2 linked regions of the Saccharomyces cerevisiae S288C genome follow. The protein of the gene in region 1 binds, or shares a complex with, the protein of each later gene. Each region holds a gene or a part of one and is shown in the gene's direction. Other genes may lie near its edges.

Region 1 (3,796 bases):
GTTTGTCCTTAGTAAAAGAGCTAGCTTCTTCCATCTTATAAGCTATATAACTCCCTGCAGCAGCCATCCCGCCACCCACATATATGGGTAACCTAATAATTTTAGATATAATTTTAGGAAAATGTGATATCGATCTCCTGGTGATAACAAAACTCAAAGCATTGGCATGTGCTGATCTGTGAACATTGCTCATGCGGCTGTGTAAGTGCACCAACGGACTTTTGATGTAAGGAGAGCTATATAGTATCGCCGGATGCGTAGCAAGCTGTCTTCTCAGAATTAAAAGCCGTACTGGGCTCGCATTCATCCTTACTAATGTGTTATAGTTCGCCACTCTTGGGATGGCCCTTAATGAAGTAGAATTACTCATGCTTTCAGAGTATTATGGTGAATATGCGAGGCTATATTATAAGTACGAAAAGAATGGAAAAGCCTAAGAATAAAATGATATCTGTACTACCCAAAAAGAGGCTTTTTCGTGTTCTCCCGTTAACTGGTGTGAACCTTCCTAGCTGATTATGTCTTGCCTTTCAATAGAACGCTACTATTTTGTTTTTAACGGTACAAGGAAATATTAACAACTTGCATATTGATCATCGAATACGAAGCGCTGAATGAGGGTTAATTTCATAGTAAATCTTTCATGGACAGAAATATTTGAAATATATTTCCTCAAAGAGTACACTAGATCCATTCATATTTTAGGCTTCCTATGGAAACCGTTTTTTCAAGGATAAACCCCGCCATATGTTCTTTGCGAAGTCTTTTGCAGTTAAAACTAATTACAACTCTGTTATTTACTGACACCTGCGTTAAAATTTTATCACAATATGTCATCCGCTGAGAGAGATGTACTATTTATAATTACTTAAGAGCGACTACTTCATTTACCATTAGCGAGCAGAAGAACAGCTTACTTGTCGATGTTCTTCTCTGGCTAAATGAAATGTCAATTATTGAGATTGAGATGGGTATGTATGATCGGATTTTGATATCAGCCGATGAGACGAAGATTCAATAGCTTCAACCGTCCCTGCGGGGGGTACTTACCTTTTGTAACCAGTACCCTGTGCAAATTCTCGGCGTGTACTACCTCTTTTGGGACCACAACCCTTTGTACGCACTTTCGTCAGATGCAAATTTTTACACGCGTTGAAAAATGTTTCAGGAAGAGATACTGCGTAAAAAAAAGACACATGTGTTACGCAGGAAAAAGTTTGTGAGGCTTTTTGCCTTAACAGATTGACTTGTAGCCCTGTTAGGTTTACCCAACAGTTGTTTTTCTGTGTGTCGAAAATTTTTTCAGATTGTTTTCAACTGACACTTGCCTGTTTCATATTAGTTGTAACTTAAACTTTCAAACATAAAACTTTTTTGGAAGTCCATCCTTCACATGACTTGAATCCCTTCAATATCGAAACAGTATCCTCAAAATCTCTTATCACTTTTCTAATTGTTTTCTTCCCCTTTTTGTAGTAACTCGCTGTAAAGCACATTTTATTCATAATCTCCTTTGTGCCAGAACTCAAGGTCAATAGGCCAGAATTATTGGAAGGAAAGAGGGAAGAAAATACGATATTGCTAGTTCATTAAGTCAAGGAAGAAAATACTCAAAAAACTGTACAGCTCAATCAGGTACACATTACGATGGCAGCACATCAGATGGACTCGATAACGTATTCTAATAATGTCACCCAACAGTATATACAACCACAAAGTCTACAGGATATCTCTGCAGTGGAGGATGAAATTCAAAATAAAATAGAGGCCGCCAGACAAGAGAGTAAACAGCTTCATGCTCAAATAAATAAAGCAAAACACAAGATACAAGATGCAAGCTTATTCCAGATGGCCAACAAAGTTACTTCGTTGACCAAAAATAAGATCAACTTAAAGCCAAATATCGTGTTGAAAGGCCATAATAATAAAATCTCAGATTTTCGGTGGAGTCGAGATTCAAAACGTATTTTGAGTGCAAGTCAAGATGGCTTTATGCTTATATGGGACAGTGCTTCAGGTTTAAAACAGAACGCTATTCCATTAGATTCTCAATGGGTTCTTTCCTGCGCTATTTCGCCATCGAGTACTTTGGTAGCAAGCGCAGGATTAAACAATAACTGTACCATTTATAGAGTTTCGAAAGAAAACAGAGTAGCGCAAAACGTTGCGTCAATTTTCAAAGGACATACTTGCTATATTTCTGACATTGAATTTACAGATAACGCACATATATTGACAGCAAGTGGGGATATGACATGTGCCTTGTGGGATATACCGAAAGCAAAGAGGGTGAGAGAATATTCTGACCATTTAGGTGATGTTTTGGCATTAGCTATTCCTGAAGAGCCAAACTCAGAAAATTCTTCGAACACATTCGCTAGCTGTGGATCAGACGGGTATACTTACATATGGGATAGCAGATCTCCGTCCGCTGTACAAAGCTTTTACGTTAACGATAGTGATATTAATGCACTTCGTTTTTTCAAAGACGGGATGTCGATTGTTGCAGGAAGTGACAATGGTGCGATAAATATGTATGATTTAAGGTCGGACTGTTCTATTGCTACTTTTTCTCTTTTTCGAGGTTATGAAGAACGTACCCCTACCCCTACTTATATGGCAGCTAACATGGAGTACAATACCGCGCAATCGCCACAAACTTTAAAATCAACAAGCTCAAGCTATCTAGACAACCAAGGCGTTGTTTCTTTAGATTTTAGTGCATCTGGAAGATTGATGTACTCATGCTATACAGACATTGGTTGTGTTGTGTGGGATGTATTAAAAGGAGAGATTGTTGGAAAATTAGAAGGTCATGGTGGCAGAGTCACTGGTGTGCGCTCGAGTCCAGATGGGTTAGCTGTATGTACAGGTTCATGGGACTCAACCATGAAAATATGGTCTCCAGGTTATCAATAGCTTCGAATTGGAAATACTGTGAGCAGTAATTATCAATGGATGCTATTATATAAATATACATACCTACACCCATCCCATATTTACATAGAATAACAACAGTAACATTAGTTCTGTGGAAGCGCAAAAACGTCCTTTAATAAAGTAAGTCAAAACATTCAACAATGAAAATTCAAAGCATTGTCATTTGCTTCCTTTTTCTCTTTGGATAAACGAAACAAAAACGAACAAAAGTGTCATGCACTCAAAAATTCTTTTCAATCGTTTTGGAAACAGTATTATTCACTGACTTATTTGACCAACTTGCTAGAATCATCTATGTTTTCAGGCATTGTTTAATTTCATGATGGCTGTCCCTACTTTAGCTTGTTATGAGCCTTCACTGGCTCGTCCTTATGTATTGCGTCTGACCCAAAATTTGTCCTTTCTTGTTTAGTGGAATTTTTGTTCGGTAATTTCAAAAATGCCTGAATTTTCATTAACAAATCATCTGGTAGTTGTGTTATAAACATAAAAAACTGCTCCCTTCTGGGATGATTTTCAATTGCTCTCTGTACTGCAGGATCATTCAATATCATCTGAACCACGTCCGTCATCATATCCTCATCTATAAGCGCAAGGCTTTTAATCCAGGGCAAATCGGCTATACGAAGAGACATTTCTTCCTCCGGAGACACTACTTTCCACGGGAGATCAAAATATTTAGATAGTTCACTATTGAGATGTGAGAATTCATGAGGCACATCAACGGTATAGTCAACTGCATATGCATCATCTTCAAACGTTAAGTCATGTTCAATGCTAAACTTTCCAGCGTTACCTATAAAAAAGCATTCTATTTTTAAGTTAAACTCTCCCCAACCGGTTTCCTTGATAAAAA
Region 2 (4,001 bases), on another chromosome or scaffold:
TCGTGAAAAAACTTTTTTTGTTTTTGTAGACCTAATAAAAGAACCTTTTTTAACAATGTCCTAACAATAATTTCAACAGTTGCCAAACCTCAAATAGTGTTGGAATAAAAATCCACTATCGTCTATCAACTAATAGTTATATTATCAATATATTATCATATACGGTGTTAAGATGATGACATAAGTTATGAGAAGCTGTCATCGATGTTAGAGGAAGCTGAAGTGCAAGGATTGATAATGTAATAGGATAATGAAACATATAAAACGGAATGAGGAATAATCGTGATATTAGTAAATAGAAATATAGATTCCATTTTGAGGATTCCTATATCCTCGAGGAGAACTTCTAGTATATTCTGTATACCTAATATTATAGCCTTTATCAAAAATGGAATCCCAACAATTATCTCAACATTCACCCATTTCTCAAATAGTATGTTTTGGTGTTAAAGAAGAACATTGGAAACAAAGGAAAGGTAAGCATTAGCCCGGAAACAAAACAAGAGGAAGTAATATACACCTTTTTGGTTAACTTGTTCGTTCAGAAGAGCCCAAGTATGTAATTATTTTTTGCAAATCTTTCCTCAGTAACGATAACGACACGAAGGTAATATTTTAAAACATTTATCAACAAGTCACTAAATATAATCTGGGTCCTATCACTATTAGAGCTTCTATGGCCAAGTTGGTAAGGCGCCACACTAGTAATGTGGAGATCATCGGTTCAAATCCGATTGGAAGCATTTTTTGCATTGATTTCCCAATTCGTAGCTGATGATCACCCTCTGAAGCTATCGGACATTTTTTTTCTTTAATTTTTTCAGCGAGAGAGCTGGCAGTGAACGTACAAGAGCAAGCTCTCTAAAGAACTATTACTCTCCTCGTTCCCCTCTCATGTCTTTTAACAGATAAACAAGCAAAAGAAGGAACTATCATACTTAGAAAAACATGTCTTTCTTAGGTTTCGGTGGTGGTCAGCCTCAATTATCATCTCAACAAAAGATTCAAGCTGCGGAAGCTGAACTAGATTTGGTCACAGACATGTTCAATAAATTGGTTAATAACTGTTATAAAAAATGTATCAATACTTCTTATTCCGAGGGTGAGCTGAATAAGAATGAATCTTCGTGCCTAGACAGATGTGTGGCCAAATATTTTGAGACCAATGTTCAAGTCGGTGAAAACATGCAGAAAATGGGCCAATCATTTAACGCAGCCGGTAAGTTTTAGAAATGTGCATTAAAGCAGTAATGATAAGACGAAAATAAGAAAAGAAATCCATAAGCTGTTTTACTCGACTCAACGTTATAATTAGTATTATTGATTCATATCCTGTATATACAAGTAACATTATACTCTTTTCTGTACTTCATCTTTACCTTTTTATCTTACATGGCACATGTTGTTTGAAAACAAGATCATAGGTGGATAAAGCAAGCCGAATCTAAAAAAAAAAAAATGTCTCTATTGGAAAACTGAATGCATAACGATATTCCCTTTTCATGCAGATAACACTGACTAGTTTCAATTTGAAACGCATCTTCGTGTTATTTCACCGAAACGCACTCGGCTCAGCATGTTAAAAAGCACATCAATTTAGGGCTCTGCGCGTCCTTCTGCGTATTCTTCCTTGTAGAAATGCAATTAAATGGAGAGCAGAAATTTTTTTGTTACATATTGTTTTCCTTAAAGGGAAATATTAAAAAATAGTCTAAAATGAAGAGGATAGTAGAATTCCACCAATTTCTTTACGTTTTATATTATTCGTAATCTTTTGATCTGTTATTCATTTTTTCTTGTCACTCCGTTTCTAACATTTTTGACCATTTCTAAGACCAAACTGAGTAGAAGCTATTCATACTGTAAATTGGTATTTTAGCATCACATCAATAATCCAGAGGTGTATAAATTGATATATTAAGGTAGGAAATAATGGGGTGTACAGTGAGTACGCAAACAATAGGAGACGAAAGTGATCCTTTTCTACAGAACAAAAGAGCCAATGATGTCATCGAGCAATCGTTGCAGCTGGAGAAACAACGTGACAAGAATGAAATAAAACTGTTACTATTAGGTGCCGGTGAGTCAGGTAAATCAACGGTTTTAAAACAATTAAAATTATTACATCAAGGCGGTTTCTCCCATCAAGAAAGGTTACAGTATGCTCAAGTGATATGGGCAGATGCCATACAATCAATGAAAATTTTGATTATTCAGGCCAGAAAACTAGGTATTCAACTTGACTGTGATGATCCGATCAACAATAAAGATTTGTTTGCATGCAAGAGAATACTGCTAAAGGCTAAAGCTTTAGATTATATCAACGCCAGTGTTGCCGGTGGTTCTGATTTTCTAAATGATTATGTACTGAAGTACTCAGAAAGGTATGAAACTAGGAGGCGTGTTCAGAGTACCGGACGAGCAAAAGCTGCTTTCGATGAAGACGGAAATATTTCTAATGTCAAAAGTGACACTGACAGAGATGCTGAAACGGTGACGCAAAATGAGGATGCTGATAGAAACAACAGTAGTAGAATTAACCTACAGGATATTTGCAAGGACTTGAACCAAGAAGGCGATGACCAGATGTTTGTTAGAAAAACATCAAGGGAAATTCAAGGACAAAATAGACGAAATCTTATTCACGAAGACATTGCTAAGGCAATAAAGCAACTTTGGAATAACGACAAAGGTATAAAGCAGTGTTTTGCACGTTCTAATGAGTTTCAATTGGAGGGCTCAGCTGCATACTACTTTGATAACATTGAGAAATTTGCTAGTCCGAATTATGTCTGTACGGATGAAGACATTTTGAAGGGCCGTATAAAGACTACAGGCATTACAGAAACCGAATTTAACATCGGCTCGTCCAAATTCAAGGTTCTCGACGCTGGTGGGCAGCGTTCTGAACGTAAGAAGTGGATTCATTGTTTCGAAGGAATTACAGCAGTTTTATTTGTTTTAGCAATGAGTGAATACGACCAGATGTTGTTTGAGGATGAAAGAGTGAACAGAATGCATGAATCAATAATGCTATTTGACACGTTATTGAACTCTAAGTGGTTCAAAGATACACCGTTTATTTTGTTTTTAAATAAAATTGATTTGTTCGAGGAAAAGGTAAAAAGCATGCCCATAAGAAAGTACTTTCCTGATTACCAGGGACGTGTCGGCGATGCAGAAGCGGGTCTAAAATATTTTGAGAAGATATTTTTGAGCTTGAATAAGACAAACAAACCAATCTACGTGAAACGAACCTGCGCTACCGATACCCAAACTATGAAGTTCGTATTGAGTGCAGTCACCGATCTAATCATCCAGCAAAACCTTAAAAAAATTGGTATTATATGAAGGAACTGTATAATTAAAGTAGTGTTTAGATACGTAAATTCTGTTTCCGAAGATGCAAGAAGGAGCAGCAGCACCAGAAAAAATTACTATTTTTCTTCTCCATTAGAGTCTATGATGGAATGCCAAATGAAAAAGCCATTTTGTTCAACAGTTCTTGATCTCGTTAAATCGTTCCGGGTTTTCAATTGAAAAACAAGGGTAATAAAATCGCATGAGAAAAAAAAGGTCCAGACACTTTTTTAGAAGAAAAACTCTTGAAAACAATTGATTCTTCTACGTAAGGACAGGGTATTATCTCGAATTCTTCTCCCTGGTAAATACTCGGGATATATAGAACCTATTTTGCATCCTATTCTCACTTTTCTTTATTGTTGTTAATTTCTGGACATTGTTTCATTAATTGAATGAATGCCCTAAAATATTTCTCAAATCATTTAATAACTACAAAGAAACAAAAAAAAATCAATGTTGAGGTGACAAAGAATCAAGATCTACTAGGCCCTTCAAAGGAAGTTTCGAACAAATATACTAGCCACAGCGAAAATGATTGCGTTAGTGAGGTGGACCAACAGTACGACCACTCCTCAAGCCACTTAAAAGAATCTGATCAAAATCAAGAGCGCAAAAATTCTGTTCCTAAAAAACCAAAA

The links. The genes of interacting proteins can lie anywhere in the genome.
Region 2: the proteins of STE4 (region 1) and GPA1 are in contact, whole or in part, in a cryo-EM structure (PDB 7AD3), measured with the Saccharomyces cerevisiae proteins. Residues at the interface, in NP_014855.3 of Saccharomyces cerevisiae: Asn85 (codon at 1,900), Gly90 (codon at 1,915), His91 (codon at 1,918), Asn92 (codon at 1,921), Lys94 (codon at 1,927), Ser104 (codon at 1,957), Gln112 (codon at 1,981), Asp113 (codon at 1,984), Phe115 (codon at 1,990), Leu117 (codon at 1,996), Ala122 (codon at 2,011), Ser123 (codon at 2,014), Leu125 (codon at 2,020), Lys126 (codon at 2,023), Gln127 (codon at 2,026), Asn128 (codon at 2,029), Ala129 (codon at 2,032), Gln135 (codon at 2,050), Trp136 (codon at 2,053), Leu138 (codon at 2,059), Leu154 (codon at 2,107), Asn155 (codon at 2,110), Asn156 (codon at 2,113), Arg168 (codon at 2,149), Cys182 (codon at 2,191), Tyr183 (codon at 2,194), Asp224 (codon at 2,317), Leu226 (codon at 2,323), Ser248 (codon at 2,389), Asp272 (codon at 2,461); in NP_011868.1 of Saccharomyces cerevisiae: Thr7 (codon at 1,951), Gln8 (codon at 1,954), Thr9 (codon at 1,957), Ile10 (codon at 1,960), Asn20 (codon at 1,990), Lys21 (codon at 1,993), Ala23 (codon at 1,999), Asn24 (codon at 2,002), Ile27 (codon at 2,011), Glu28 (codon at 2,014), Ser30 (codon at 2,020), Leu31 (codon at 2,023), Gln32 (codon at 2,026), Glu34 (codon at 2,032), Lys35 (codon at 2,035), Asp38 (codon at 2,044), Lys43 (codon at 2,059), Thr301 (codon at 2,833), Gly302 (codon at 2,836), Ile303 (codon at 2,839), Glu305 (codon at 2,845), Leu318 (codon at 2,884), Arg324 (codon at 2,902), Ser325 (codon at 2,905), Glu326 (codon at 2,908), Lys329 (codon at 2,917), Trp330 (codon at 2,920), His332 (codon at 2,926), Cys333 (codon at 2,929), Phe334 (codon at 2,932).

The regions. Positions count from the first base shown.
Region 1 is NC_001147.6:741,263-745,058, forward strand, and holds STE4 (G protein subunit beta), read left to right. Parts: upstream 1-1,647; coding exon 1,648-2,919; downstream 2,920-3,796. Other genes in the region: dynamin-related GTPase MGM1, read right to left, coding at 1-307; SAS5 (Sas5p), read right to left, coding at 3,273-3,796. UniProt on the Saccharomyces cerevisiae protein: Implicated in the a- and alpha-factor response pathway. The beta and gamma chains of the putative yeast mating response pathway G protein play a positive role in initiation of the mating response.
Region 2 is NC_001140.6:112,849-116,849, reverse strand, and holds GPA1 (guanine nucleotide-binding protein subunit alpha), read left to right. Parts: upstream 1-1,932; coding exon 1,933-3,351; downstream 3,352-4,001. Other genes in the region: protein transporter TIM10, read left to right, coding at 949-1,230; Nem1-Spo7 phosphatase catalytic subunit NEM1, read left to right, coding at 3,756-4,001. UniProt on the Saccharomyces cerevisiae protein: Alpha subunit of the heterotrimeric guanine nucleotide-binding protein (G protein) that mediates mating pheromone signal transduction.